Linked DNA regions of Stegostoma tigrinum. The protein of the gene in region 2 interacts with the protein of the main gene of each other region in a pairwise test. Links are inferred from orthologs where the notes say so. Each region holds a gene or a part of one and is shown on either strand. Other genes may lie near its edges.

What was found.
Region 1: the proteins of protein transport protein Sec23A (region 2) and homeobox protein Hox-A3 interact in binary tests that used the Homo sapiens proteins (3 or more experiments, as listed by UniProt). The two-hybrid records come from large-scale screens. The link is inferred for Stegostoma tigrinum from reciprocal best matches to the Homo sapiens genes SEC23B and HOXA3.
Region 3: the proteins of protein transport protein Sec23A (region 2) and prrc1 interact in binary tests that used the Homo sapiens proteins (3 or more experiments, as listed by UniProt). The two-hybrid records come from large-scale screens. The link is inferred for Stegostoma tigrinum from reciprocal best matches to the Homo sapiens genes SEC23B and PRRC1.

The regions. Positions count from the first base shown.
Region 1 is NC_081355.1:57,684,943-57,696,085, forward strand, and holds the start of homeobox protein Hox-A3, read right to left. Parts: upstream 4,580-11,143; 5' UTR 4,172-4,579; intron 4,164-4,171; exon of another isoform or gene 1-4,163. Other genes in the region: homeobox protein Hox-A7, read right to left, coding at 7,325-7,557, 8,581-9,046. UniProt on the Homo sapiens protein: Sequence-specific transcription factor which is part of a developmental regulatory system that provides cells with specific positional identities on the anterior-posterior axis.
Region 2 is NC_081362.1:40,469,231-40,480,053, reverse strand, and holds the start of protein transport protein Sec23A, read right to left. Parts: upstream 5,213-10,823; 5' UTR 5,098-5,212; intron 5,092-5,097; exon of another isoform or gene 4,909-5,091; intron 3,547-4,908; 5' UTR 3,496-3,546; coding exon 3,493-3,495; intron 1-3,492. UniProt on the Homo sapiens protein: Component of the coat protein complex II (COPII) which promotes the formation of transport vesicles from the endoplasmic reticulum (ER).
Region 3 is NC_081356.1:27,291,689-27,302,416, reverse strand, and holds the start of prrc1 (protein PRRC1), read right to left. Parts: upstream 4,580-10,728; 5' UTR 4,493-4,579; intron 1,375-4,492; 5' UTR 1,352-1,374; coding exon 1,261-1,351; intron 1-1,260. UniProt on the Homo sapiens protein: May act as a regulator of the protein kinase A (PKA) activity during embryonic development.

The sequences.
Region 1 (11,143 bases), on a different chromosome or scaffold from region 2:
CAATAAAATAAAATGGTAAGAGTACATATACAGGGATATGATTTATAGATTTAATTTTGATGTTCTTACGAAGAAAATCCCAACAGTAGACCGCAACGCAGATTCTCAGCTCTAAAAGATTTCACAGTAATTGTGTGTGGGAGTAATTGTTATTGCACCAGCGTTCTTCATTAAAGCATGCATGCATATACATGTGCATTTAATATACAAACACCACAACACTTCTAGGGAACACTTCCATTTAACCAACATTCGCCGGGTTTATTTGAACGGCCAAGCGAGCTCGAAACATAGAGAAGCTCGATTTTATTCTTGATAACCCTACGTATGGCTCACTTCCATTACAATGTTGTTTTAATTGCGTACGATTGAAATTCACTAATACTCCCCAAATCCCAACTTCGATTTTCCATAATTGCACACTGTTAAGGTTTTATCGACCATAAAAGAGTGGAATGTTTCCTTTCGAATAATTAGGCATTTTGAACATCTCAATGGGGACATTTGTGTTTTGGAATAACAGAGCATTTGCTGCGCCCAGACCGCGGCATCAGATCGCAATGAAAGGACGGAAGCCAAAGGCTCCTTGCTAAAGATCTCATTATCTCGTTAGGTTTCCTTTCCGTCAACAGTGGTCACATCTCTTACTGAAATATCTGAGGTACTGTAAATAATAGACATACATGAGGAGGACGTGGATATATTTTAGGCAAGTAAGATATTTTAGCCCTCAAGTAAATACTGTTACTGCACCCATACTGCACCGAACTCGAAACCTAGCAATTAGTGGGCAATCATTACAAATTAAGGAGAATTCGTGAATGCGGTCGTTTAGTAGTTGGATGATTTTACATTTTCGACAGATAACAGTTTTTTTTTGGTGTGGATGCCCCATTAGTTAATGCAAGTAGTTAAAATACCACAAGTAGATTAATTTTCAGCCCTGCAAGCTTATACCTGTTTCTCTTTCCTAATTATAGACTTGCTATTAAAAAAAAGCCAAAAGCTGGTCGAAATCAAAAGCTATATCTGTTCGAAGTGTGAGTATAAATACAGAGCAATTATGGAGGAAAATGTGCAAGATTAAGCCAGTTCGACCCCTCTTAATGAAAGGCCGACGCTTGCCGCTTTCCTCAGTTTCTGCCCTAAAGCCTCTAACCATGTATTATATTTATGCGTTTACTTCCAATTGTATACTGAATTTTAATAAATTCGAACAGTTCTCATCAACGTTGATCTTTTCTGTTAATGGATTTGCTTTGTGTTTATTTTTGATTTTCGATTATTTGTCACAAACCAGGTCTTAGAAGTAAAGGTTTGATTAGCAAGCTCCCACAATTGCTGCATTCTTTAACATGAAGCATCTTCACACAAGTTGCGTCGTGCAAATGAACTAAATGCTGAACAGTAAAAGGTGATATTGAAAGATGAACAAAAGAGCTATGCGTAAACCACGGCTATTATTTTCCAATTAGGTGGAACAGCTAATAGCCACTGCTGCTGCATCGCGTGTTAGGAAAACTAGAGAAAACAAGGCAATATAATGAGACCATCAACACACAGAGTGGTGAAAATTGCTACTAAAGAGCCCATAGAATATATTAAATAATAACTTGAACACTATGTATCTTCTGGAGTTGAAAGCAATACCGTACAATTTAACTTTTTTCATCACTAACCTAGAATTGAATTCTATATTTTGCAATTCATACTTTTAAAAATAACATTGCAGTTTCAGAAAATAAAGCGCCGATTAAATTTCCTCCGACGGTAGGTTACAACTAATTACGAAATGGACTGGGAAAAGCTAAAATACTATCACTGCGATTTATTCTTTCCGTTGACGTATTTCTATTTCCTTCTAGACAGCAAACCTTCTGAATGATAAGATAAAATAATAGATTCTGAATCGATGGAATCCGAAACTCAATGTATTCAATGTTAGGAGAGTTGAAGCTAGAGAACGTCAAATTAAAAAAAAATACAAGAAAGATGGAATATATTCAAATCCACCACTTGTGGACTAGTATTTTGAATGTCGTTTACAAAATAGAAATTTCTCCCCAAGTCTTATCCGGTCTTGCAGCGACCAGAACAGATACAGCCTAATTAGCAACTGCTGACGGAATGTCTCTTGGTTTACTAGGTGGAATTGGGGCCTAGTTTGGGCTTGGTGAGCATGACTAAGATTTTAAAAAAACATATGTGTATAAACATTTCTAAAAAATATTAAATACGCATTTAATCCGCTTACTCAATTCATCTGAAAGGAAATAACATACCATCTTTGAAATTGTGAATTGCACAGCCGTGCTTCAAGCTTTCCACCCACCTGGCGCTGATATTATTTCTTTTGCTACGCTCACATCTCGTTAACAGGTTGCCACAATTTGAACTATAATTATCGCAAGGAAGCAGTATAAATGTTCTAAAGACTTTGATGTAACTGTAACCCGTTCCAGAACCGTGGTTCTTCGAGAGTTTAAATGATCGAAAGTTTTTTGCTATCTTTTACATAAATAATGAAGTTGCATTCTGAAAGATTAAAAAAAACTCTGCATTGCTTTATCACAACTAAACAGGCCTATTCATTAAACTCACCATTCACTGACAACACTTTCTTGTTATGTCATCGGGTTCATTCAAATTCTTCGTTAAATTCGATTTCATATTCCTTACACAAGGAAAACAATTCCATAGAAAATCTCGAATATCACAAATATGAGTTGTAACCACGCTTTAACCATATAATTAAGGAGGCACCGTAGATTTAAATTGAGCAAGCTTACTACTTCCCAGTCTTTATCAATAACAAAGTGTATTTGTCCATTTCGATCCATGAATACGCATACCTTGACCGTTAACTTTAGTATAATTATGGCACACTTATTAATGATCATTACGGATCAAATAACTATTTGGCGCAATGCATTTCATAAGTACAAGTATTGCACTCAAAGCCTAATATAGTATAAGTGACACACCGCGTGATGTCTCGCATTTCCGAGAGCAAAGCCCACAGTTTCACTCATTTCTAAAGCGCAACAAATAATTTAATGCAAAAACGCTTTAAGTGCTATTTCAGTCGAGTTCAGTGCGTGCTATTATACAAACAAACTGCTGATTACTGGGCATGTCCACCAAGCGACACATTGAACGGTTAGTTTAAGAATGCAAGTCAACTACTTCATCAGTAACACATGACTAAGTGAGACGCTGCGCAGCAACACCACAAGTTTGACCACACTCCAAACACACGGTGGCAGCAACGAGTCCAAGAGGACAGCAAACATTAATAAATATCCACACGAACACACACATCCTCAGTCAGCCGGGTCCAAGTGCCTTAGTGTCAGAAAGACAACGTCCGCGTTAAGTAAGAAAAACAACAGACAGCAAATTTGCATGCTCAGACCCGAAATAGAATATCTATGATCATTTCTCATTCTTGAGCCGCCTTCACCACTGAAATTAACCACAAATAACTGGAGATGATGCTTCACAAATAAACACTAAGGCATACATTAGATTTCTACCAGAAAATGTTTGAACAAAATAGCAAAAGTAGACACTAAAATTTATTGCATCTTAAACGAAAACTATGCGTAGCAAGAACAGCAATTCAACAGAAATAAATCATTTAAATGAAGAACAGCCACCGTAACAGATTAATTATTTTCAAATGGAATAAATAGTTTATTTTTCAACTGCAATGAATCTACAATAGATTGTATTACAACGAACCTCACTCCCAGATTCCCCCTACATGACATTTAAAAACTGAACCAATGCTCGTGCGTTACTTTTGTCAAATTGACCCTAATGCAAAACACTTTGAAACGAACAGATCGGCTGTTGGCCAGAAACAACCAGAACGTAAGACGTCAAAAACATCATCCACACTCATTTCAAAACAAATAAACTCCAAAAAAAATTGCAAATGCATAACAAACTGCCCTTAAAACGGCCAGATTACGCTCAATGAATGCTCAATAAACGCTACGTTTCGAGTTATCACAATTCAAAGGTCGTCGGCAATTTTAGCATGATGATCTTTAACTTTGGCAAAATTAAAGAGCTTTAAAGGTTGTTTTTAACAATAACTTTGCTGAAAGGGCATTTTTGAAATGCTTTTGTTTTGCAGAGCTACAACGCTGAGAATGGGCCTTACCTTGCTGCTGATTCCACCCCTTGGCCTGGCAAGTCCGGTCTCTGCACAGACCGGCTGTCGTATTTATTGAGCCCCAGTGTCAGTGTTTACAGTCCCCGTGTCTAGTTTGACAGCTGTCCGTTCAGCTCCATCCCGGGCCCCTGGTTCCCGCATTCCGCCAGCGGCGTTTGGTGACGACCTGCAGGAAACTGCCCTGCGGATCAGAGCCGGCGCTTTTTAATCCAATGCTCCACCTTCCGTGGAGAAATTCGTAGCTGCCAGACACGGGATCTGTGCTGTAAGCTTGGATGCATTGAAACTCCATAGGCGAATAATCACTGCACTCGGAGGGGGTAAAAAGAAGAAAATATGCGTTGCTGAAAGCCCGCAAGCTCTCACATCCGAACCAACACGCGCTAAGCAAAAGAATGCAGTTCTATAGTCGCAAGGGAAATTATAAAAAGTTCATGTTCACGGTTACACTCCACATGACTTTCAGTGGCCAATGGAAAAACCGAACAACTCGTAAAGTTCTATTGCAAAGTTGTAAATTTTCATAAAACAACAACGGATTTATGACATTTCCCCATGACTATTAGGAGGCAGGTCTTAGACGCCATTTTTAACAAAGAGTCAAGTTAAAATTGTGAAATTATTAAAGATTTTTTCCGCGGTTTAAAAAGAATTTTCTAATTTCTGAAGCTACGGTATTATGATCATAACACTCGTTTGTAATTCGTGGTTTTTTTCACAGAAATCATTAGTTTCTGCGTTCAGACGATTATTGTAACGAATCAATTCAGGTTTACGTATCATCGCATTTCTTCTCGTTTGCTCGTTTCTTGAATATGTTACATTTTAAAAATGGCAATGAGTTCGCTCTATTTCGTGGGGGAATGAGCTACGAGTTACAATGCCGCACTGCTTGCATTACAAATAAAGTCTGCGCCTGTCCGAATATTCCTTCCAAGCTCGGCGATGAAGTAGCGACTCGGTTCCTTCTTTATTTGAATGACAATTTTTGTTCGTTATGAAACCAGAGACACTAGGATCACTATGTTCTCATCTTTTCCATTTTTCTTAGACTCTTCTGAAAGGGAAATGAGCTCAATCAGGCATCGGGTCCAGCTTGCTTTCTGAGAACTTTAGCCCATCATCGACCTAACCTTCGCCTTAAATCAGATGCATTACTTGCAAACACGGTCTTATTTAAAAATATTCTTGTCAACGATAACTAAGTGAGCGTAATGTGCACAAAGGACCTTGTCATCTTCAGTTTTAATCTGTCTAAAACGTACCCACTTCGTGGACAAAAATTATGTATTCATTTGTTTCGGTGAAAAACAGATTGGATGTCAATGAATAGGACTATAATATAAAAATATGCGTTTGTTACTCTGAAATAATTTATATTTAATTGCTGCTGTTAATGACACTACTTCTATCTTTTAACGAATCATGGAGCCACTCATTTGGTGGTAAACTGCTCAGGCCAAGAAACGACACACTGTTTATTCAAGCAACGTTTAATATTTCTCGTTTTTGTTTGTCTACAGAGACTCCATTTAAAGTATACACGGCTGGAACGAATATATGCATTTTAAATAGATTGCACCTTAAACCTTTAACATCGGTTATTATTTAACAACACATACACATATTACAAAGCAAACTTTCCATTGACAGATACCATACCGAATATGGAACCACAATATATCTAGTTGACGATGCTTTTCAGAATTTCTATTATTACATTTGGTTACTGTTTTTCTTTAATTTTATAATTTAGACAGTACACATGTATAAGACAACTGACACAACAGACTTAAAGAAAGACAATTACATCATTCAATAATACATGGCTGCTTGAAATCTTTAGCAGGTATACATTTTAATGCCATCAATCAGAGAGAAATATTGCAATTTTCCCCCTTTATATATAACTTGTTTTGCTTTTTTTACATTATAGTATTTAAGCACGGTACGAAACAACTCCATTCGCGTCAAATGTAAACTGGTATCTAGGTAGTTATCACTATGATGTGTTATAAAGTGGCTATATAAGCACCTCCTTAAAAAAAAGTACATCAGAATATTATTCACATTTTTGTTCTCATATAATGGGTACTGTTTAGAGAAGTGCGCAAAGTCTAGACTCCAAGAACACTCTCTATCAAGAAACGAATATTCAATTCGAACATTTAGGTAGTTTCAAAAGACGTGCAAGATGTCCACTATTGTGGTTTAGGTAGTTACATTTCATTGCTATGTGATTTGAAAAATCTTCTTCATTTTGTTAACAGAACGGTACATCTCGGTGTAAAGCGACACACTCAGAGAGCAGTGGAGAAGTAATGTAATAAAAACAATAAAAACGAAGAATTTAATACAAATAAATTATTTTATTCGACTGGTTAGTTTTCTGTCAATTCTTGCTATGTCTGTTAAAGTGACTCAAGTACTTGGTCTTTGATTGGACTGGAATCAACCGTCTATTATCACGGTATTTTTGTTTTCTGAACAGTGAGCAGGAATACTTCAATACATGTGAAGAAGAAATATCAGAAGTAAAAAATAAGTTTGAGAAGTAGTTCAGTGCATGAGATATATTTTAAAACACGTAGTGGTATTTGAATTTTGCATTATCTAGGTTAAAACTAAAACATTGCGTTTTATCGGCTAACGTTATCCCGTTGATTGCACTGCGGGAGGTTCAGAATCCAAATCTAATTCATTTTATTTTAATAACAGCGAAGAAGGATTTCGAATTTCTTTCGCGTTCCTTGCAATACTGAGGACAGAGATTCTCAATTAAACTTGAGAAAACAAACATTTCAAATTTGACTGCTTCCCTGTAGCATTTGCGGACAAATGTTCTAAACCCTCCACTTTCCCTTTGTTGATGAAAACACGGATTCTGAAGTCAATTCCTAGCTCTCTACCAATGCCAATAAAGACTTGATCTTTTAAAAAGAAATAACTGAAACCAAAATCAGTGAACCTCGAATTTTAAAGATATGATTTTGAAAGAAGTTATTAAAACACATAGGTAGTATCATGAGTGCTAGCACACATTTCTGAAATAGTCCACGATTGTGGTTAGCTAGTCAAATGTCATGGTTTAGCGGCTGCTGAGCAACTTTCTTCGCATAGTTCAGGATTTAGCTGAGAATTTCATTCCTGCTTTTCCTCGGTCGTGGTGCTAGAGCTCCCAGCTTTCGTTTCTTTTTTCCATTTCATCCTCCTGTTCTGGAACCAGATTTTGATCTGCCTCTCAGTCAGACACAGAGCGTGGGCGATTTCAATCCGTCGCCTGCGAGTCAGATAGCGGTTAAAGTGAAATTCTTTCTCCAGTTCCAGAGTCTGGTAACGGGTATAGGTCTGCCGCCCTCTTTTTCTGTCAGGGCCTGCGAAAGACATGAAAGAACAGAACAGCCAAACCATGAACCCAGCTTTTAAAACCAACTTTCATAAATACACAATGCAAGCAGTGCGGACATTCCCCTGTATGTTGTTTTCAACATCCACTCGTCATCTCTGCTCTTACAGAACCCCTTTGAAATATTTGTGGCTGAACTAAGTATTTAGAGGATTTGCCAAGGGTCTGGTTTAAAATGCAAAATGTCTTTTTGGCTCCGAGTGGAACCTTCTTACAGCAAAATGGTTTTTGAAAAGAAAAACAGATTTTCAGTGCAAATCACGTCGTGCTCTTGATAGTTTATTTACATCCCAGCGGTTGCCGGAGTAACATTGCACCTTGTTTAGAGGTTGGAGTATTAATATTTCAGACACAGGAATGACAGGTAGCGACAATCGTCAGCTTTTATGTGTGTGTTTTTATTTTTCAAAACGATTCGATTCTAACGCTAGCAATTGAAATGACAATTTCACTCTTGTAGTTCGAGCTCCTATCTTATGGCACCGAAGTAATTCGTTTCAAATACGGACTTATATCTACTAAGGGGGTGGGGTGGGGGGGGGATCGCATTACAAGCACCCAAAGATCTTTCACGGAGTGGAAAACAGAGGGAAAAAAAGCTTCAGTTCTACGACCTTGCCCAATCTGTAAACATACTTTAGACCTGCAATGTATCAGTCCCCATCCATTCAAGAAAAGACGGTGTTTTTTACCCCGCGTATCAGTAAAGAACATTGCTCTCATTTGATGTTGATAAAAGTGAGTAAACAAGCAATATGTGAGTTGCTGTTAACTTTAAAGGAACGGAAGTCGAGTGCTTTTACGAGGATTGTACTGATTAATTGTGCAATAAAAGTTTTATGATTGCTATCTACATACAATACTACGTACATTTGAGGAACTGGTCCTCAGCTACCATTAAAACTTTTAACTACCTTCAGGATGTAGTGGCGCTCATTTTAACTGGTCATTTGCACGTTTTCTCGTCGCTATGTTACACTATGTCCCATACCTGCATTCCTCATCCAGGGGTAAATCCGGAAATTGCTCTCTGCTTGAGGGTGCACGTTTGTTTGATCCAATTTTTCGCAACCCTGTTTGCTCAGATCGCTGCAAAGAACTGGAATGTTCTGGTCTAAGGCAGAGCAGCGCAGGTTGTAGGAATCGGAATTTAGGTTATAACCTGTGTTGTACATGGAAGGGCCGTGATAGATTGCACTGTTAACATTGTACAGGCCGGCCATCGGGGCTGGGAAGGCGCTGGCGCTCGCTCCATAGCTGGATCTTTGTGAGTTGGTAGCAAAAGCGCAAGAAGTTGCTTCTGTAAAGCCACTCGCGTTCTGGAAAACGGATGTCCCCGCCGTATATTTGGGAAAAAGAGCATTCACATAATACGACGAACTCATAATTTTGTCTGGTGATTTGTTGGCCAGGACTTCAGTGTCGGTTTTACGAGATAGCGTGATAAATGGTAGCATTACACCCCCGATTTACACCAAGCACCCATTTTCCTTCGGCCCGACTCATTTCTATTCACGTGACCTGGTCATGTGATCCCTTCACCCAATAGCATTCGGCATCACAGGTGGTAAATAGCATGGTATTCGACTATTTTCAAAAAGATTTTGTGCTAAAATCACGCACAATCTTTTAATGTTGAAAGTATCGATAAGACTGCGTCACCTTAAAAGGTCAACGTTCTTCTGTTAATTTTTTTTCCAAGCCACTGTGCCATTTATATGTGAAAGGTTTGGGAACGCAGGTATGATTCCAACATTGTTGAGAATAAGATATGCAATGAAACTCATACAATTTGGCCGCATATTAAAAGAAGCAGCAATCATGAATAGTAATATACTCGCCCTGGTATAACATTTAGGTGCATCCTACGCTGTTTGGTTTAAAAGAAAAGGCTGGGTGGAAGAATTGAAAATAAATGAGCAGTTGTATTTCTCTCTTTACTGCCCCCCCCCCCAAATGCTGCACCCGCCCCCCTCCAACCCCGTGCAGTGGTTTGCTGTATTACGATGCCATTAAGGCATTATACACGGTAAGAAACATTGGGGATTTACTGAATTAAGATTGAATGTACATCTAAACTCAAGATTAGAGAATAATCCATGTGGGTAAATTGTAAGGGTTACAGATACAAGAGAAATATTGCAACATCAAAACGCAAAATGGCTGTGATGCTAGCCTCTGTTACGAACTCTCGGATTTTTGTTTTAACATTTAAGCCTGTTTTTATATTGATTTACTAAAATGGACGAGTTCACTTTGGAGATGACCACATTTCCTCTGACGGGTTTCAGTGCAACAACTATTCTGTAGAAACCTTTTAGAGTTGCTAGGTAATCTGGTTGGAACCCCGCAGGGGATTTACCCCGGGTATCGTTTCCGCCTTCTGTTTTACAACTTTTTTTTTCTCTCTCTCGTTTTCTCCCAATCTTCTCGTTAGATCACAGAACTTGACTACGTAGCTGCTGTCCTCAATGTCCGGGCACATTGTCCAGTTCCTGTGTTTAAGGTTTTCGTTCCTCTCGAGCGGAACAGTTGCTTTTATGTTCCACATTAATGGGCATATTTTGACAGGGTTAAGCGTAGAAAATCATCGCCAGCATTTACAGCAGCAAGACAGTCTAGCAAGCATGCACCTGGTGCGTTAACAGTAAAGGGTTGTTAAAATAAAAACATGTTTTTTGCATTTCCGTCTGCGATCCTTTAGGAACTGTTTGCTCTGATATTCTGAAATGTTGTTTTCTTTTGATCTCTGGAGTCTCCGCTGGCATGTCCCAATCCCTGTGCTAAACAGACTGGCTTTACGCCAGCAGAGACGCTCATCAGGAGATTTTTCTCGCTACCATCGCTCCCCGCTTGTTAAAAGAGTATATTTGCTGGAAAACGACTGAACGGTCCGCATGTTTCCATATCTCCTGTGCATACCCGCAACGAAACGACGGTAGATGTCCCAGGAAGCGCTCCAGATTATGGTCTGAATTCGAAATATTTCCTCTATTAAAATATATTTTATATTTTATGTTTTTTAATCTGGCACAAATATGGTGAGAGTTTATATATAGGATGTCTATCACTGCAGGCAACGGCGATAGCTACTTATTATCTTCTAAGTCCAGAAGGGAAAAACAGACAGATATCAGAAATCTGGGTTAAGTTCTTAAAAATGAAATATTCCTCTGTAAAAATGAAATACCGCTACGGATTGCAGTTCGACTGCAAGGAAATAAATCACCAACAATAATCGAGGATGAACAAATCAGAAGAAGGGAACAGTGAAAGAATGTATGTTTTCACCAAACCGCTTGCCAGTAAAGTCAACATTTTCATTTGTGTGTTTCTAATCCAAACATAAGAAATGAACGCTGTTAACATTAGGATAAAGTTTGTTGCTCGACTATGCATCAAAAATATTATTATTTAATAATATGAAATAAATGTTGGAAAAAATAGTTTCTCCTTTTTTTAAAGTTGCTGTTTATTTCGACCTTTCTCATGGCCCAAAGATTTCCACGCACTGTCAGCCATCGACCATTGCAAATGCACGGCCCCTGAAATGC
Region 2 (10,823 bases):
ACAACCATATTAGCAAATGAACTTTGCACTTTCTTTAAAGGAGTTAACAGTCTTCAAAACAGTTAGCTCCTACAATACTTCAGCTGAGGTCTAACCAGTATTTAATAAAGGGACAGCGAAATGTGCTTGCTTTAAAACTCCACTGTTTTATCAAAAAGTAGAATGAATCCCCATTTGCTCTTTTAACTGCCAAAAAATTCTTTCACTGCACTTCCTATAAAATTATATTGCTTCACATCAATTCTTTGTATCAAAATTTATAATTTATTATTATTTCTCTACCACGGCCTATTCCAGTGGTCTATGACACCCTGAATCCACTTTGGCCTGCTTGATTGTCTACTACAATTTGAGTTTTGTATCAACTGGGAAATAGACTCCACTTGCCCATCGTAGATCAGGTAAATAAAAAGGAGCACTGAGCCTCGTGTCAACTCATATGATTTAAGAGCAAGAGAGAAGGCCATTTGTTCCTCTAGCTTGTTCCACCATTCAAAAAGGATCAGACTGATCTGATAGTGCTCTCAACTCAACATATCCACCAACCTTTGACTCCCTTGTAAGTGAGGAATATTTCTACCTCTGTTTTAAAGTATTCAATGACTCCACTTCTATCGCCATTCTCTGGGATGCAGAGTTCCACAGACTCATTTCCCTTCTGACAGAAAAATATCATTCTCATTTTCAATCAGAGAAAATTTATTTAAAATTGAGTCCCTGCTATAGACTTCCCTGCAAGGAGAAACATTCTTTCAGTATCAACCCTGTAAAGCACCCACAGCATCTTGTGTGTTTCATTAAGATCAATCATTGTCCCTTACTCCCCCACATTAGTTGGATGAATCTTCTCCGAACTGGTTCAAATGTATTCATACCCTTCCTTCCTTTCATACCAAAACTGTGCATGGTACTCCAGTTGCAGCCTCACCAACGTTCTATATTAACTGGAGTGTAAACACCCCCACTTTCATATCCTATTTCCCTTGCAATAAACAACAAGATTCTATTTGCTTTCCTAATCACTTGCTGAATCTATATTTTGACTTCTTGTGATTAGTTTACCAAGAAACCCAGATTCTTCTTTATCGAGTTCAGTAATCTCTTAACTTGAGTAGTTCAAAGCTTTTCTACTCTTCCACTAAAAGTGGGCATGTTCACAGTTAACCCCAGCAGAGACTATTGCCAAATTTTTATCCACTCACTTAAGCTGTCCATGTCCCTTAGAACACTTATGTTCGTTTCACGACTTAGTTGCATGCCAAGCCCTGTACCAACAGGAAAATTAGAAACCATACCTTTGGTCCTTACATCTGAGTCATTTATATACATTGCAAATAAGATTCCATCATTGATGCCTGTGGCACACCACTCATCACATCTTGCCAACCCAAAGGTTACTCATTTGGGTTCACTTTCTGCTTCCTGTTAGCCAACCAATCCTCCATCCGTGGCAAAACAATGCCTCTTCTTATACCAGGAGCTCTAGTTTTACTTAATCTTTGATGGGCACCTTGTAAATAACTTCTGGGATCTAAGTGGAGTAAATCCACTGACTCCTCTATCCACTTCCCTTTCACAAGACAATTTTCAAAAAGCTTGTTTGCAATAAGATTTTCAAAGCGCCTTGCAACAACGTCCTTAATAGATTCAAGCATTTTTCATCTGATAGATATTTGGTTACCTGGCCTCTAGCTTTCTGTTTCACTGCAAAGTGGAGTTACATTAGCTTTTTTCTGTGTGATGGGACATTTCCAGTATCTAAGGAATTTTTTGAAAATTGAAACAATTATATCTACTGTTTCAGCAGCTACTTCACCCTCGGATGAAGTCTATCAGGACCAGGAAGCCTGTCAAATTTTCGAAGAATTTTCTCAGTACTCTTTCCCTGGTGATTGAAATTAAGTTGCTGGATTCCTTTCAGATTCTGATTCAGAATTATTTCTGGGATGCAATATTGAAGACAGACAAAAATCATATACCATTTCTGTTTTTCCACTATTAATACCCCAGTCTCTCTCCCTGTATAGAGGACCAATGTTCCCTTTACTTCTTATTGCTTTTTAAATACCTGAAGAAACTCTTAATATCTGTTTTTATAATTCTAGCTAGCTTGCTATTATATTCTAATTTCTCCTCTTATTTCTTTTTAGTAATTCTTTAACACTGTTCATAATCTTCAGACACTTCTGGCCTGCTACTTATCTTTTTATTTCAATGTAATATTTTCAACTTTCTTTGTTGGCACTAATGGTACACCCTTCTCTTACAGTCTTTATTTCTCACTGGGGAACCATTGTAGAATCCTTTAAATTGACAAACAACCATTCACTGTTTTCTGTAATTGCCAATTTTGATTGTGACACCATCTCCTCTAACTATTCCAAATTTTACTAACAAGTGGTATATGCGATATTTTGCTAAACGCTTGAAAAATCAATATTCACATTAAGTATTGTACCCTCACCAATTTAAACATGCATATAGATGAGTCATATGGGGCTCCTGTGTCTCTACCTCTGAACAAAGATATTGGAGTTCAAATCCCATCTGACCCAGAGGTGTACAATAACATCTGTGAACAGGCTGATTGGAAAATATCTATAAATGAAATGAATTGTGGACAACTAGGGTGTGATCCAATATAACCAACAGTACACCTTGCTTATAGCAGATAGCTAACTAAAGTACTGAGGTGAATCAGATTGTCTTGAGTCATGAACGCTTTTGAAATGTTCTGTGTGGCCTATGGGATTAGTGTTAGTAAACCAGCAAAAAAACTGAAAGCCAACAAATAAAATATAGATCCTTACCTATGTACGTGTTATAGCTGCAACACTTAGTTACTGCATCAGAAAACCGAAGTAATTCCATCAACAATGCCTCAGAAGAGTCATGAAAATTCAATGGCAGCACAAAACATCAGAAACTTATGAAAAAAGTAAACACGCAAAGCACAGAGAGGTTCATAGTACAAAGTTTAACCAATGTGGGATGGCCACATAACAGAAGACCTACTTGGGTAGTCCAGTAATCAATGTCAAACAAAAGCTTGATCCTCTTATAGTGGTTTGTTCAAAAGATACATTCATGTTCTAAAGAATATGAGCAGGCAACTTAGTTCCTTCAACCTGCTCCAACATTCAAGATGATAATTGCTGTTGGTAGTTTAACTCCACTTTACTGTCAGTCCCCATAATCCTGGATTTACTTGTAAATCAAAATCTGTCCTCAAATTAATTATGTTCTGCAGAGCTAGCCCCCATGTTCTCAGAGTACTGAATTCCGAAAATTGATCATACCCAGAAGAAATATCTGTCTTAATCAGGAGGGTACTTATTTTAGGTATGTTCTAGATTTGCTCATGAAGTGAAACATCACCCAATATCTACATTCTTAAGACATCCTCTGAATCTTTTGTTTTAACAAGATCACCTCTCATTTTTCTCAACTCCAAAGACTGTACACCCAACTGAAGACAAAATCCATTCATACCATGAATCAGCCTAGTGAATCTTTTGTATGGCTTCCAATTCAAGGATCTCTCTCCTGAAATAAAGACAGAAAAAAAAACTGTGGATGGTATTGTCTCACCAACGCCACATGTAAATGTGACAAAATTTCCCGACTTTTATGTTCCACTCCCTTGCCACAAAGGCCAACAGTCCATTTACCTTCCTCACCTACTTGCTGTACATGCATGCTAATGTCTTGTAAACTGTTTTGAAGAAACAGATCAGACTGTAAATGTGAACCCCATTTCTCTCTCCACAAATGCTGCCAGTTTCTCCAGCATTTTCTCTTTTTATTTCAGACTTTTGGTAACTGCAGTACTTTCCTTTCATTATTATGAGTTCTGTGCCACTTATTGAATGATCTTTGCAAATATTACAATACACTACATCTTCAGATTCCTTTCTATCTACCTGCGTATTAAGTTTGTTAAAGAATTCTAATTCTTTTCAAACAATTTATTTTTCCTGAATCCATGTTGATTCAACTTGATTGTATTTTAGTTTTCTAAACTTCTTGCTGTGAATTCTTTAATGATGAATTTTGGCATTTTTCCAGTGATAGACATAAGGATAACTGTTCTATAGTTTCTTGCTTTGTGCTTTCCTCTTGAATACAGATGCTACGTTTGCAGGAAATTTTGCAAGATTACAACTTACACATACACTTATTTTAAGATCACAGAATTCAGCCAGCAGATTTAGGGGACTTGTTGGCTAAGTTAAGAATGAAATTTTCTATGTTGAACACCTCTGTGAATGACCCTGAAATATTTTACAAAGTTTATGGGTGCATTTAAATGGATGTTGTTAATTGTTGTCTCTCAACTGTAATTTAACTGCAGTTTATACAGTTGCAGTTATACATCGTTATACAGTCACAAGTGTGAGAAACAAATTTTAAGACAGTTAATTTTGTATGGAGAAGAAGCTGAGAAAGAAGACAAGCTCACATTCAAAATCCATTAGCAGTCTGTTACAATCCTAAGGATGTCAAAATCATAAATAACCAAGCAAGGACTAGGGGGGGTATAGGTTTAAAGCGAGAGAAGAAAGATTTAAAAGGGACCTGAAGGGCAACTTTTTCATGCAGAGAATGGTGTGTGTATGGAATGAACTGCCACAAGAAGTGGTGGCTAGTACAATTGCAATATTAAAAAGACATCAGGATGGCTACATGAATAGGAAGGGATTAGATGGATATGCGCCAAATGCTGGCAAGTGGGACTAGATAAATTTAGAGTATCTAATCGACATGGACGAATCGAGCCCAAAGGTCTGTATCCGTGTTGTACAACTCTACGACTCTTAGAAACCCGACCTTCTGCCAAAGATCAATTCCAATGAAACCCGTTTTCTCACCATCACTCACAGTTCTAGCAATTCCCCCAGTATATACCTGCCGATTAAGACAGTGTCAACGAACCCAAACCAATGACACCTATTACCAGCAGCAGCACCACCATCCCTCACAGTTATACATCAGCCTGAGTATGACTGCGGCCAGTGACTTGCAGAGCGTTAATCAGCAGAACACCGGGACTGATGTCCAGTGACACTGCGTGCTAAACGATCACAAGGAGATCACCTAGTCCGCGAAAAGCCCCGAAAGTGAGCGACTCCTTCACTCGATAATCCCGATCCTGACAACACGTCCTCCTCCACCCAGTTCCTGCTCCGCGGCCTTACGTCATTTCCTTTCTTGACGTCTACGACAGGAAGTACAGCTCAGCATGCGCCTGGTTTAACACGTCACCACGGGTCTAGGAAGGGGCAAGATCGAGATCACGTGAATTTCAGTGACTGTATCCATTTTGGAGAGTGAAGCTGTTTATTTCGATCGTCTTATGTTGTTTAAGGTGCTGATGGGAATAAAGGTGATAAAACGGGATAAGAAGTTTTCGAAGTAGGCCACACCCGTCTGTGTTTGAAACAAAAACAGAAATTGCTGGAAGAGCTCAGCAGGTCTGGCAGCATCTGTGGAGAGAAAGTAGGGATAATGTTTTGGGTCGACTGGCCCTTTGGCTGCCCCATAACATGCAATGATCAAACGTAAGCTGCTAGATTCGGGTCAATATCCAAATTTCCAAGTGAAACCTGTGTGGCATTGTATCACTTGCAGTCACTACCAGGAGACCGCTATATAGACTAAAGCTCGCGTAGAATAATCATGTTGGGAAGCAAGTGTCTGGCATTCTGGCTTCATGATCACCTCAACTCAGTTGTGACAATGTTAATATGGTGATGATGTTTGGCATGCTACCTCAGAATCTCACTTGTTCCTGCTACCTGATCTACAGAGGCTTCTGGGGACAGTTCAAGTGTTTGCATAGAAACAGTAGGGTTTGTTTGTAATAGAAATTAATCTTCATAACAAAATTATCACCTGAACATCAAAAACCTGGGAACTATTGATGAAACTAAAAGGAACGGCCACGTAAATGGTCAGAAGATTGATGAGGGGTGGGAAAGGGGTGGTGGCACTGAAATAAAATTCTGGAAATTCTCAGCAGCTCAGGCATCTGTGGAGAGAAAATGGAGTTTCAGAACAGAAACTGGCTGTCCTGCATCAAGTGACACACTTCAGCTTTTCTCAAAGCATCACCAACAGAAGTCATGAGGATGATGAAATATTCTCTACTGTCTGGATGGTGCAACTGCAGTCACACTCAAATAACTCAACAGAGCAGTCTGATTGGCAATCTACACATATTTAAGCCTCTACTAACTTCACCAGCAGTACATTATTACTTCAGTATTTACTACCCAAAGAATACACTGCGACAAGTCACCACAGCTTCTTTGCCAGCATTTTCAAAATTCAGTTTCCATCATTGGAAAGGACAAAGTGTGCAGGAGCGTTATCATGTTGAGTTTTGCTCCCAGATTCAACATCCTTAATGGGTGGCATGGTGGCTCAGTGGTTAGTACTGCTGCCTCACAATGCCAGGGATGCTAGTTCAATTCCATCCTTAGGCAGCTCTCTGTGTGGATTTCCTCCGAGTGCACCAGTTTCTTCCTGCAGTTCAAAGATGTGCAGGCGAGGTGTATTGGCCATGCTAAATTGCCTGTAATGTTCAGGGATGTTTAGATTAGTTGGGTGAGAGGGGGTTGGATCTGGGTGGGATGCTCTGAGGGTTGTTGGTCCAAAGGGCCTGTTTCTACACTGTAGAGGTTCTATGAAATAATATTCCTCATTAGCATTTTCAAAATCTTGGAAATCCACACCCAACTGTAGTTTATGAATACTTGTACCATTTCATGCAATGGCATAAATAATGGCTCGTTCTGAAAAGCAACTGAGGTAGATAATAACTATCAACTTTTTTAACATTGCTAATAAAAGTTTTAGAATAAATATGAGAAGTTTCCTTACCCCAACAATCATATTTAGTCTCATCTATTTGGTATCGTGACCCCTAACATTTTGCCTATTCATTAACATTCTCAGGTGACTGTCTTTCCCACCAACCACTTGTTGCATCACTACCCATCTCTTCATTGCTGAGATACCCATTCAATTCTATGTTCTCTCTCCTGTCAGCTGTAGTCACCTTCAAACTTATCTTTTTCTCCCTGCTGAAGTTTCTTAGAAGGGGGTCAGCAGCTCTATCATTAGGATTCTTTCATACATTCCCTACTTCTGAAATTACAACAATGATTACAAAATTATTTAAATTTATTGTAAAATGTTTAGTGATAGTCTAGGGGTGTGAAAGACTATCAAAATGAAAGTTTTCCTTTTTAATTGTACCCCTTACCTTCCCTTACTTTTCATTATCCTTCAAAGATGTCTTGTTTGCTCTCAACATTAAACATCTTTAGACCAGATTAGAGTGAGGGGTAAGAAATCTTGTTTGCTTCTTTTTCTGTTTCAGAGTTCTTTCCATATATTTGCTGGATTCCAGGTAGGATTTCCCTAGATTCTAGAAAGCTCACAACAATTTCAAAAGCAGCAAGTGTGACAGCAGTGTGCAAGAAAGGAGGGAGGTGGAAAACTGCAAACAGTAGGCCAATTAGACTCAAACCTGGAGTTCTAGCTTTGAAGCAGGGATCTTACCTGCTGTACCACAAGACAAAGAGCTATATCCAATTGCTGCTCATTCCACACTCCCATTACTATAATGGAAAGGAAAATTGGATGGTGTGCATAATAGATGAACAATACAATATCCCTCATTTTACATAGCCAAAAGTTAGTATTACCTCAGTTAGATTGAACACAGATCCAGTTTTTCTAAAGGTAAAAGAGAATGCTAAAATGTAAATATGGAGCATTTACTCAGGAAATTCAAATTTCCAATGGGAAGAATTACATTGAGACATTTCTGATGGGGTCTCACAATGAACATTCAGCCTTATACATACTCAGATATTTACCCACCTTTCTATTAATTTCAGGTATAATTTGGTGATTGATGGAAGGAACTGTTTAGGGGAGGCCTAAAAAAATCCTGTGGTCCCCAAATCCACTGAAAATGCTCACCCATGCTGTGCCTCCCACAACAATGCTCAATCTACTGCACCCCTGACAAGTCACAGGATCCCTGTCCCTCTCACTGCTCACACCAATGCACTACTTTCTGCTCCACATCTAGCAATACTCGGATCCCATTCCATTAACATTCAAACACACCAGCATTTTCTATACCCAACAATGCACGCAATTTTACACAACTGACAATGTTTATTCCTGAATCCCTGACAAAACCAACTGCAAGCAAATGTTAAGCAACCAAACAGCTTGGCAAAAAGCAAACCTAGCCTGCAAGCTTGCCATAGACAATTATGAAAAAGATGAATTGCTGCATAGTGGTGATTCTTCAATTTGGCAAGGGTAAGTTGTATGTTTTTTTAAAAGTCCATATTATTTTGTCTTACAACACTGTGCATGATTCATCTTCAGAGATTTTTGCAGAAATTTGTTAAAGGAATTATCAATCAGTATCATGTTATTTTGATTTGGGCTGGCACGGTGGCTCAGTGGTTAGCACTGTTGCCTCACAGCACCAGGGACCAGGGTTCAATTCCAACCTCAGGTGACTCTCTGTGTGGAGTTTGCACATTCTTCTCGCGTATGCATGGGTTTCCTCTGGGTGCTCCAGTTTCCTCCCACAGTCCTACTATACTACAGTGACCAGGGATGTACAGACTAGGTGGATTAGCCATGGGAAATGTAGGGTTATGGGGATGTGGTGGGTTTGGGTGGGATGATGTTTGGAGGGCCAGTGTGGACTTGATGGGCTGAATGGCCTGCTTCCACACTGTAGAGATTCTAAGATTCTACTCTACCTGACATTGCTCACACCTCCTCATCAGTTACCCAGCACAACTCCCACACCCCTTAACAAAGTTCACCACTACTGCACCCTATAATGTTCACACCCCTTATCTACCCTCCTAACAAAGGCACACCCCAATCCCAACAGTCCCCAGTTGCCTGCACTTCCACCAATGATCATACACATGATATGGTTCATCCTGCTCAGCGGCCTTTGCAATATTACTACCACACTCTGGCAATGGCCCACTCCCATTACTGACAATGCTCAAACGCTCAACAGTGCTTACCCCCGGCAATGTTCAATCCCACCACAAATACTTAGCAATTATACTTCGTAAATATCAGGAAGAGTTTGAGCTAACACAGTCTTCGTCAAGAACAATTAGAGATGTTCAATAAATACTGCACTTGCTAGCAACACATCTTGTGAACCCTTTGAAAGATAATGTGGGATTTCGGCTGAGGTATAATCTGTAAAACTCCTCCAAAAATATCCAGGAATAAAGGTGAATTTTTCAAATCAACCTGTCCATTGCTTGAGCAAGCTAATTGTTTACTTTATGATGTTGTTTGTACTAATTCTGCTGCTGTGCGCTAATTCCAAGCAGTAATGAACTTTATACTTCAGAAGAGGAACATTCAGCCTACTTTCTGTAGAGTATTTCAGACCCTCGCAACCAAAAATTGAACTCAATTCCCAGGTCAAAATTTGTCTCAATCAGTCGGCGGGGTTGCCTGCAGTGGTTTCTTATCCAAATATACTAATCGACGAAATGCCTAAAGAGTGAGAATCCCCTTCACGTTGTAAGGCGCAGGTTTTGTGTGGCTGGGACTGGCTCCACCTCTCCAGTGGGCCCGAGCGGCAGTGACCAGCTCCGCAAAGCAGTGATCGTCTCCGGCAAGGGGCTGGGGGATGTGGAGAATAGCAACTGGTACAAATGGGTGAAGGATAATCTGAATCAGGTCGGTATAGCGAGTTTATTCCACGGAGAACAGTCGGTTCTTGGTTAGAAATATTGCATGAGACACACGGGAAGATCCTGCATTCTGCTGGCGGACTGCGCTTCCGCTGGCATGTCTTTTGTTCAAATGTGCTCCTATAGTCGAACCCGAGACTCAGATTTATTCATTCTCTTTCGTTGTAACCTGGATTTACATAGGCCAAGCTTGTCTTTGATGTGACTGGGGAATGCCACTGATAATCGTGGTCATAGCGACTGATAGACAGTGCCGCTCAAAGACCACATTTTTTGAGGGATTATTTACATAGGCCATCTTGCACTTCTGCTCGACATCCAGATTTTGCCGGAATAGTTCTGGAATTTCATTAAGTGCTCCAGGATAACCCTGACAAATTCTCCCCCAGAAGGTTAAAATGTCTCCGTTTTCATGTGATTTCTTTTTTGTTACATTTAAACAGGGTCTTTGAGGGATAATCAGTGTGAATGTTCTTCTTCCTATAAAACATCGGTCACGACGCGCAGTCGACCTGCATCCTGCTCGCTACTGCCTCCGGGATATCTCTGGGTAAGTTATCTCTACCTGGTAGATACCGTTGGTTTTGTTGCTGTAGCCATCTCAATGATCCATGACTTGCCAAATATCACTGGACATATTCTGAAAGATGTCATCATTTGACCTCCTAGTCAACTCCTTCCATCCATCATAAAACACTACCTTCCCATGGTTTTTGTAATGCATCCTCCAGTTCTGACTTGTAATTCTTGACATCTTAACTTATGCACAACTTTTTAAAAATTCATTCTTAGAATGTAGGCATTGGTAGATAGGCCAGTATTTATTGCCCATCCCTAATTTCCTAGAGCCCGTGAAGTGTCAGGCACATTGTTGTGGATCTGGAATCATAAGAGGCCAGCCTAGGTAATGATGGGTTTCCTTCACTGATGGACATTAGTGAACCAGATGGTGTTTTCTCAACAAGTAACAACAGTTTCATGGTCATCATTAGACTCTCAATCCAGATTTTTTGTTGACTTAAAATTCAATATCTGAATGTCTAGATTACTAGC
Region 3 (10,728 bases), on a different chromosome or scaffold from region 2:
AGAGAATCTTCAAGACTCTGAATTGAATGACAAACTTCATCTCAATCTGGAATGGCTAGCCCCTCCTCCTGTGACTGCCTTCCAGTTCCAGGCTTTAGCTAGTGAAAATAGCCTTTCCACATCCATCTTATCAAGCCTTTCAAGAACTTTACACTGAGACCACTTTTTGATTCTTCTAAACACCAGGGAATACATGCCATTCAAATCAATCTCTTCCCAGATGTCAACACTCATTTCAGTGATTTCAGATACTAGCTAATAAAAAAAATTTAGCTTCATATCTGATTTAAGATTCAAAATTTTGCAATACTGAACCCACAGTAAAAAGCTCTTCGGTTTAATGTTATAAAGCTTGCTAATAAAAATTGTGAATGATGAAACATTTTCACATCAAGAGATTAAATTTTTGATTGAAAACAGTTGATAAATGTTTCAACTAAGTATCCAGATAAAATCTCAATTTCATCTATAATATCTACAGGCACAGAAATGATTGCAGAATGTTGGTCAATTAGTGTAGCTTTGTCAATATGGCAAACCAATGCTATGTTCCGTTCGCCATTATCAATGCCTGTCCATTTATATTTGCTATTTTCAAATATTGAAAATCAACTGCAGTTTTTTTTCTTTATAGGCACTTGTGAAACAATACTTCACAAATCAAAAAAAGAAAATTTTGAAACTTCCTCATTAGTTTTACCAGTCATGGGTTTTTGAATTAAAAAGAATTTTACAGCACAGAAAAAAAATGCTTCTGTTAATGCTCTGAGCTCCATCCCATCCCATCTTCATCTCACTACCACTATTCACCATATATCCAGCTTTGCCTTAAAATATGTCCAAGTACTTCACCTCAACCACTTCCTGTTGAAGTGAGTCTGGCATTCTCACGATTCTTAAAAGTTTACCCTAAAATCATTAGTCTTCTTAGTGGAACATTATTTACAATTTTTACTTTTCCATATCAATGCCCTTGTTACTGATCTTACAATAAAATTCTTTACCATTTTCCCCTCTTAACAACTTTTATAACTTTTAAAACTGGAGATAATCTCATGCAGTGAAGCACAATCTGCAAAAACTGGAATCAGAATCTTGATTATCAGGAGAAAATAAAATGCACACACTTACGTGAATGTTTATCAAGGTATTCTATGTTATTTAATTAATTAATACTAAAATTTACTCACTGACATGTTCTTGTCTATGAATATACATTCTTTGCTTGAATGTTTGGTTTGAAATTTAAAACAGTACTACCTGTAGGGGCAGGGGGACTGCTTGCAGTCACTGCAGTGCTAGGTGGTGGGGTACTGGGGGGAGTCGTTTCAATCCCACTTTCCTCCATCATTTTTTTCCTTCAATCACAATTTTCTGCAAGCATACAAAAACAAAGAAATACAACAGTTATATTTCTTGACTCCAAATTCAGAACCACTTGGTCAGAAGTATCCACATTTGTATAGATTGGAAAAATGGTTAGCTACATCTATTCATTCAATGTTGATAGCAGAGAGTCAAAAAGTCAATCCAGCGACATCAGCGCAAAAAAAAATCCCAATCTGTAGGCTGAGGCATTAGGGTTGGGAAATTTTCATGCAAAATGAGTAAGCAAAAGATATTTTCACTGGTTAGATGGCAGGGCTACTAACAGGTCACAATTTTGCAATTTTCTCCTTATAGGGTGCGTGGGCAATGAGCAGGGGGCAATGTGAATTGTTCTTTAACAGAGCTTGCAATTTCACATTTGCTCCAACCTTCTGTGCTGTAAAAATTCGATCAGCAGTTAGACCAGCAACTGCTGCTCACTGCAAATTTTCTTCAAGGTGGCAGTAAGCCACCAGCTTGAACTGCTGGAATCTATGGGACATAGGTACACTTACTGCAGTGTTAGCAAGAAAGCCCTATGAGATTCATGAAAATCAGCAAAATAAAAAGAAAAAAAATTAGGCAGAGAGTTATGATCTGGATTTCACTGCTATATAAAAAAGGGTGGTGGAAGCATATTTAATTGCAACTCTAAAAGGGGGAGATTTTTATAATGTATTTATTCCTGAGGTATTAGCATTTTTAAGCAAAGCTAATATACAGTGCCCATCTTTAATGATCCTTGTAAATGGGGTGGATGCTTTTAGCTGCTGCAGTCCACATGAAGATTCATCCAGAGTGCTGTGCTGTTTGTGAACGAGTGCCAGGATTTTCATCCACTGACCTCGGAGGCAGAGCAAAAGATTTTCATGTTTCAATGAAGAGCAACATGGAGGGGACATTGTAGCTGGCGGTGTGTACCTACAATCCTTCGTTCTTCCGTGATACAGGTTTTGAACCACGCTGAATATCTGAAGAGTTACAAGAGAACATTGCTCAGATGGCAAACCTTGCTGCCAGCGGTTGAGGTGGCGATAAAAAAGCACAAGTAGAAATGGCTAAATGACTTAGGTATCAGTGATAATGGGAACTGCAAATGCTGGAGAATCCAAGATAATAAAATGTGAGGCTGGATGAACACAGCAGGCCCAGCAGCATCTCAGGAGCACAAAAGCTGACGTTTCGGGCCTAGACCCTTCATCAGAGAGGGGGATGGGGAGAGGGTTCTGGAATAAATAGGGAGAGAGGGGGAGGCGGACCGAAGATGGAGAAAAAAGATAGGTGGAGAGGAGAGTATAGGTGGGAGGTAGGGAGGGGATAGGTCAGTCTATGGAAGACATTCCATGAATATCAGCATTTGATCCACACTCTTGACCATACACTTCTGTTCCTTCATTTAGGATCATAAAATCCCCACAGTGCAGAAACAGACCATTCAGCCCATGAAGTCGGTACCCACACATCGAAGGGCATCCATCCCAGACACAGTTCCTACCCTAGCCCCGTAATCGGCATTTACCACAGCTAATCCACCTGATCTACACATCCCTAATCACCTGAACAATTTAGCATGGCTAATCCACCAACTAGCACATCTTTGAACTGGGGGAGAAAATCGGAGCACCCAGAGAAAACCCACACAGACACAGAGGGAATGTGCCCTTCACACTGGCAGTCGTTCAAGGTTAGAATCTATCCTGGGTCCCTGGTGCTGTTACAAAGCAGTGCTAACTATTGAGCCATCGTGCCACCTTCAGTAAAACTTCTTACTGAGCACAATCAGCAACTCACAGTAACTGAGTAACATGCTGCCAACAAAAACTGCAGGGAATCATCTGAGTCTCTAACAGCCCATCTTTAAAATCAATACTTTGTGACTATGTGAGTTGATGCTGACCGATACAATAAGGTAAAGGTGATCATGTAACTTGGACAGAAAGTGAGTGGGTGGCAGGACAAATGACAGATAAAATCGATATAGTCTTGCATTTATACAGCAAATGTCACACACTCAGGATATCCCAAAGCACTTTATAAATGAAATACTATTTGATATGTACAATATTCAGTGCTGTAAGGTAGGAAATAGCAACCAATCTGTGCACGTGAATCTTCAAGAACAGCAATTTCATTATTCCTAAGAAACTGCTTCAGAAATTTCAATTGAGGAATGAACACTGGCTATAATGCCAGAAATAACACCTCTTTGAAAGTGCACTAAAGTTTTTAACATTCACCTAAAGAGATGCAGGGGCCTTGTGTTTAACATCTCATTCCCTGTAAGCTCCAGAATTCCCTCCATAAGCACCCCTGCGGCTCCACCCTTCTGTAACGGATTGCTTAATACCGAAATTAAGCTTCTGGGTGCCAGTCCTATTATTCCGTGATAGAGTTGACCATCAAAATTTGCCTGATTACTCATGTGCTAGAACGGGGGAGAGCTTTACATCAGACCGTGCGTATGTATGTTTGGGGAGGAGGTTAGCGATTGTACCTTGAAACCCGGACGTGAAGTCTTAAACGTAGTGGTGGGATGGAGAGGGTGGGTTAAATGGAAAGCTAATATTCTGCAGGTACCACACGAGACTGATTAAACAGCAATTTCTTTCATCCTTATCGTCTGTCACTGGCATAAGTGACAAGTTCAACTTTGTATGGCTACATGAGGAGCATACCCCCTCCCAAGGCCATCGGATCCTGAAGTGGGACTGGACACCGTCGTTTGTGGCTCAGAGGCAGGGACCCGCTTCTCAGCCCCGACTGAACTTGGCACGGTTTGGCAATTTGGCGTTTATTTTTTTTTTGTTTTCAGCAAACGTCGGTAACATTCAAAGTCTGAAAAAAAGAGGGCGTCCTCGGACTGACATGCGAACGCCAGGCAGAAATCACCGCGGCCAGCTTCCCAAATTCGGGCCCGTCTGGAGCTCCACTGGGTCCCGAGGCCAGGAGCAACAGGCACGGGGAAGATCCAGGCTAGGTCAGCATCCCCGGTGCGGGGAAACACGTGGGGGGGGGGGGGGGGGGTCGGAATCGTCCCTGTATCAGCCTTAACGGCCAAGGGTCTCTCTCGTTCCTTGACACCTGATTTCCCCCCGCCGTGTGTCGGTGTGTGTCTGTCTCTCACCTCCCCAGGGTGTCGGTCCCTCGCCGTCTCCACCACCGCTGCAGCCGCCAAGATGGCTCCGTCGTCCCGGTAACGTCAGCGGCCACGTCAGCAGTGCGTACGTCAGCAGCTGCCACGTACCATCGAAGCCTCTTAAACGGGCAACTCCTACAGGGTGGCCCTCACAATGACACTGGTGCACTTTTGACTTCTCCCTCCGCACAGACTCACTGGCACTAATTGATCCACACCCTCGCTGACACTCATTGTCCCTCTCACACACTTGTTGACACCCATTGACACCCCCCACCCATCACACTGGCTGACGTCCATGGACATGCCAACCAACATACCCTCACTGATACCACCGGACTCCACCCCTACTCCACCACCAGCACCACTCTCACATCCATAGGCATGAATAGTTCATACCTATACAATTTTCCACATTGTTTAATCCATGCTAGCATTACAATTGGCCAGGTACAGTTTGCCTAGGAGTATAGTGTGATACTGGCAAACTCTGAATGAGACTAAGATCATCCACTTGACATGGCGAGTTGAATATGTTGTAAATGCTTCAGCCTTATTAGTGTCATGTACTCTACATTCATTCTGGATGGGGATATTCATGGAGACAGTTGTTTTCATTGCTTGCTTAATTGTCCATGACTTTTCTGCAGGATGCGACAGAACTGCAAAGTTTTGATCTGATTCATTGGATCTAAGATTTTGTAGCTCTTTAAATTGCATGTTGTTTGTGTTGTAGGTATATAGTCCTGCAGTGTGGTTTCACTAAATTGGAGCATCATTTTTGAGTTTGCGCTTCACCTGACACACTCTCCTAACTCTTTATTGAACAGGAGTCATTCCCCTGGTTTAATGGTAGTAGTAAATGTAATGAGAGGTATGATGTTACAGATGGTAGTTGAATACCGTCCTTCTGATGGCTCACAGCATCTCATGTATGTCCGATTTGAGCTTCTAGATCTGTGCTGAATCTGTTCTATATAGCCTGGTAATAACGCCACATAACACAGTGGACAGCATCTTCAATGTGAAGATAGATCTTCATTTTCACAAGGACTGTACATTGACACTTCTACCAAAGCTGTTGTGTACAGATGCACCTGTAGATTGGTGAAGATGAGGTCAATTCACCATTTTCCTTGATTTTTGAAACACTCGCTGTCCCATCCTGACATATTATTTTCAAGACTTTATCAACTTATCATTATTGGAGTTTCTGAGCCACTCTTGGTGAGGGACATTGAAGTCCCCTTTACAATGAATATTCTGTGCCTTTGCTGTACTTGGTGCTGCTTCCAAGTGGTGCTCAACGTGGATAAATACAGAGGCAAGGTAGTAGGTAGTAGTCAGGTGGAGGTTTCCTTGTTCATTTTAGAAATCATGCTAAATATTGGGATTGCAGAGTTAAAGATGTTCGTTCGCTGGCAGTGATGATTCTGTTTCCGTAGAACTTCTTTCCTTCATGTGAAATATTATCCCATAAAAACAGAACACTTATACCTATCAGGATGGATGTACAGGCTGAAAAGTAGAAGGCTAAGGGATGACCTAATAGGGGGATCTTTAAAGTAATGAAAGGTTTTGATAAGAGTGGAAACACAAGTGTTTAACTTATGGGGAAGAGCAAAACAAGGGACCTGCAATTTAAGATCATCACCAAGCAATCCAATATAGAATTCAGGCAAAGCAATTTTTTTCGGAGGGACTGGCAACCGATACCATATGGAAAGACAAAGTAGATAATGTGGATGTATTTAATGGGGTTGCGGGGAACCTTGATAAACCAATCTGGAAGAAAAGAATACAAGATTTATGCCAAAGGAACAGAGAATACTTGAGAAACTCAGCAGGCCTAGCAATATCTGTGGAGAAACAAAACAAGACTTTGAATCAGATATGACTGTTCTTCAGAAGTCATTTTATCTAGAAATGTTAACCTTGTTCCTCTCTCCACGGATGCTGCCAGACCTGCACTTTCTGTTTATCTCAGATTTCCGGTAGCTGCAGTGTTTGAGTTTTATTTGAAGATTTATGCTGATGATGAAGGATGAGAGGAGGTGTGAGTGTGTGATAAAGACTGGCAATGACAGGTTGGCCTAAACGTCCTTATTGCTGCGAGGTATATTCTAAGCAATCTTATGCAATTTGTTGTTAATTGAAAAGTAATTGATAGCTTGAGACCAACCATTCGTGCTGATTATGGTATCATTGAGTCAGAGAGTCTTCCAGCACAGAAACAGACCCTTCGGTCCAACCAGTCCATGCCAAACATAATCCTAAACTACACTGGTTCCTCCTGCTTGCTCCTGGACCCAATCACGCCATCCTTTCCTACTCATCTACTTATCCAAAATTCTTTTAAACATTGTTACTGTGCCCACATCCATCACTTCCTCAGGAAGTTCATTCCACACATAACCCATCCTCTGTGTAAAATAAAATGCCCATCATTTTTTAAATTGCCCTCCTTTCACGTTAATTTGAAAGCCCCCATCCTGGGGGAAAAGACACCTCCCATTAACCCGATCTATATCCCTCATAATTTTATAAACTTCGTTAAGGTCACATCTCAACCTGTTATGCTCTAGTGAAAAAAGTCTTGGCCTATCCAGCCTTTCTTTGTAACTCAAGCCTGCCATATCCAGCAATATCCTGGTAAATCTCTTCTGGACACTCTCTAGCTTAATAATATCCTTCCTATTACAGGGCAACCAGATCTGGACACTACTCCTGAAAAGGCCTCACCAACGTCCTGTACAATCTCAACAGTACATGCTAACTCATACTCAAAGGACCTAAAGCAGCCATGATAAAAGACTAAACACTTTCCAGTGCATTTCAGTTTTGAATGGGAAGACAAATGGCTGAGTCTTATATTTCTTTCGGCTAAGTCTGAGTTGTACTGAGTCTTTTTGAGGGATTTTTTATTGCTGCAAGATTTAATGAATTTTCTTGTGTCTCTTTCCAAACCTGTTGCTTTTAACTACTGATCCAGTCCCATCAGCATCTGCCATGTCAGTTTCTGGCCCCATCTTACAACATGTCCTCCAGAGAAAAACTCATGACTCAGCACATACCTGCTGAAAGACCGGCATCCCTTCAGCCCACGCCATCTTTGAATGACTGCTCTGTTCAGTCACAGATAGATTCTGAACATGTCAAAGAAAGTCAGATGGCACCATGGTTCTCTCGAAAGGACATCCTGGTTGAGGGGATTGCTGAGGAGGGCTGCTTATTTTTGGATTTTTGTTATTATGGATAAATGCCATCTCTATAGTGTGGAGGGGATGACCCACTGTTTTGTGATAGGGTCAAGGTCCTCCTCCACGTGACCAGCTTATGTGCTACACTCTCTGCTTTCTTATTTGGTCACTGCTACTACACCCACCTCCCACAAGGTTCATGACCTACCACTCTCACGGTCGCTTGCAACACCTCTTACCTGCAACTACCGCCCCCAGACTTCCAATCCCTGTGTGATCTCTATGCTACCTTGGGACACCAATCCACCTTTTGCTCAGTTGCATCAGATCCAACAGCTGTGCCACCTACTTTTATCTCACTCAATCCCTCATTACAGGAGAAGACAGCCGCTAAACAGGGCAGGAAGAGCCCATATGTGTAGAGGGCTGCCCAACATCAAGGATTTCACCCCAAAAGTGAAAATAATCCTGGTCCTTACAGGAAAAGGCCAGGACAACAACTGCAGAGATGCTGAGACATCCATGTCCTGCCAACCAACTACATTCATTGCACTGCAACTCTCACATTAACCCCACTGCCAGTGTAATTCATTACAGACCACTTCTAACCATGAAGACTTTGCTCTCTTCTGTACTGCAGTTACTGTTAATGTCCATTGAAGTGGCTGACTCCCCCAGAAGCTACCTCGGAAAATAAAAGGATGAAGGCCAGGGAGTATGCACCAGTAGGTCTGCCTTCTGCACTGCCCACCAGTTCAGATACTGACACCTAATGTTACCGAATGGTAATGTTAGGCTTAAAGAATATTGAAGCAAAATCTGCTGAGCACCTCACTGTGACAGCTGAGCACCTGACAAGGAAGAAATGGCTCAGACAACTGGCACCTGGAGGACTTCCGGACTGGGTACTTGCACAGCCCCAGGCAGGTGAGAACCCTGCGGTGTCAGCAATCAAAAGCTTAGTCCATATTAACAGAATGGATCAGGAGCAGTATTCAGCCTTGTGTGACACAATGGCCCTCATTATCTGGAGCTGTGAAGTAAGTCATGTCACAGTCTGGCTACTTTCATGAACAGAAAAGCAGCATCCGTGGAGAGATAGACTCAGTCCCCTCAATGACTGCTGGAGATGCACACACACCTACACTCCATTGCCCCATCCATTGGTCCTCAGGCACAGCGACAAGGGGAGAGGGACGTCAATGTGAACAGCAGGTGACCCTTCCTCACCAGGACACAGGGCTGTACCAGGAGCTACCAGGAAGAAGAACCACGCACAACGATCTCTGAATGCTCCTCTCAAGTAGCCAAGTCCTTCACTTGCCCCCTGCCTACACCACTCTGACTTTTGGAAGCATATGTGGTCCATCTAGGCACAAATACCCCTAGTGTTGCCTGACAAAGCCCCTAAGGCGAGTGGGCTCCATTGCCAAACAGGCTCACTCTATTTTAGCTGAAGAATAAGGGAGTACACAAAGACATAGAGGGAGAGGACAAAGATCTATGACAATGCATTATGTATTATTTTGGCCTTTACAAATAAATGCCACTGATCTCATTTTACATCTAATTGTTTGGCTCTCAGTTTAGTCATTATTACAGTATGAGATATCACTTCATGACCACAGATGAATTTCCATGAATTGAGATCTGTGCTGAGAACCTGCTACTTCTTCTGGAACCCAGAAGAACAAGGCCTACACAGAGCAATAGGTTCTGCTCACATCCTTCTCTTCCATGTACAACTGCCCTACTCTGTGTCCAAAAGTGTTGGCTAGTGATGTATGGGGCAGGGAGGTGCAACACAAAGAGGGGGTATGCGATAGGGAAGCCAGAGAACAGAGACTCTGCAAGTCTGTGTCCTGTTTTGTAGATGGTTCTAATACAAGGCAATAATGAGTGCTCCGCAGCCTGTGGCTTACAGCCTCCACCTGAACATGTCACTGAGGCAGAAAAAACCCATGTTCCCTTCCATGAATACCCACCCAGTCCCCATTCAACTTACTTACATAACCCTGCACCTACCAACCTTACCCCTCCAGCCCCTGGCATTTGAAGTGACCATGCCAGTTGTGGTCATAAATAGTCTCCCTGTACCCCTCACTTCAAAGCCAGAGTGCTCATCACCAAACACAATCTACCCTCCCCCAAGACCCCCTTCCCTTTTGTACATTCTCTTAACACTTCCCAACCCCCTGAAGATATGACTGTGCTGCTCGTAAAAGCCTTTGAACTACTGCCCCGGGCTCTCCAGAACTGAATGGTGCCGCCTTGAACTTCAACAAGGGCTACTCAATGGGTTTTGAAATGAATGAACATTTTTGACTTTGAGATGAAAGTGTAACCCACTCAGCAGCAACTAACTGTCTTGCAGCCTGGGTGCTAAGAACAAAAGCAGCATTTGGACTGATAAGCCTATTCCACCATTTTACTGAATCACAGATGACTTTTTTTTATTAAAAAAAGTGAAATGCTTAAGATTCTTGCACTTACAGACAGAGACTGAGTACTCTTTAAAGAGTTAGTTTTATTGGAAAGCTGGTGGCAGACACTCTATACATAAAAAGTAGCAGATGTAACACTTAAAGAGCAGAACATAAGTGAAAAAGATTTAGCACTGGTTTCTGTTTGAGATAAATGAATAGGAGTAAAACACCTCTATTTTATTTATGATATAAACTGATTGAGAAAAAAAAACATAAATTACGTAACAAAAATGTTATCAGTCAGGTAAAGGCAGTTGTCTTTGTGGGATAATACATTTAATGTCACCACGCAATATATGGCTACAGTGCAACAGCACTTAAAAGTTAATGTTTACTAATAGGGCAGGATATTCCACTGTACAGTTTTAAATCCATTAAACAAGTTACCACTTGTCAGTTGGTTTAACCTGGTTTTACATCTATGTACAACTTATTATACATTAACAGGTCTAATAATACTGGCTCAGGAAGGCTGAGGCAAGTTCATAACAAACAAACAAAATGTCATATTCTCAACTAACAATGAAATCAATATACA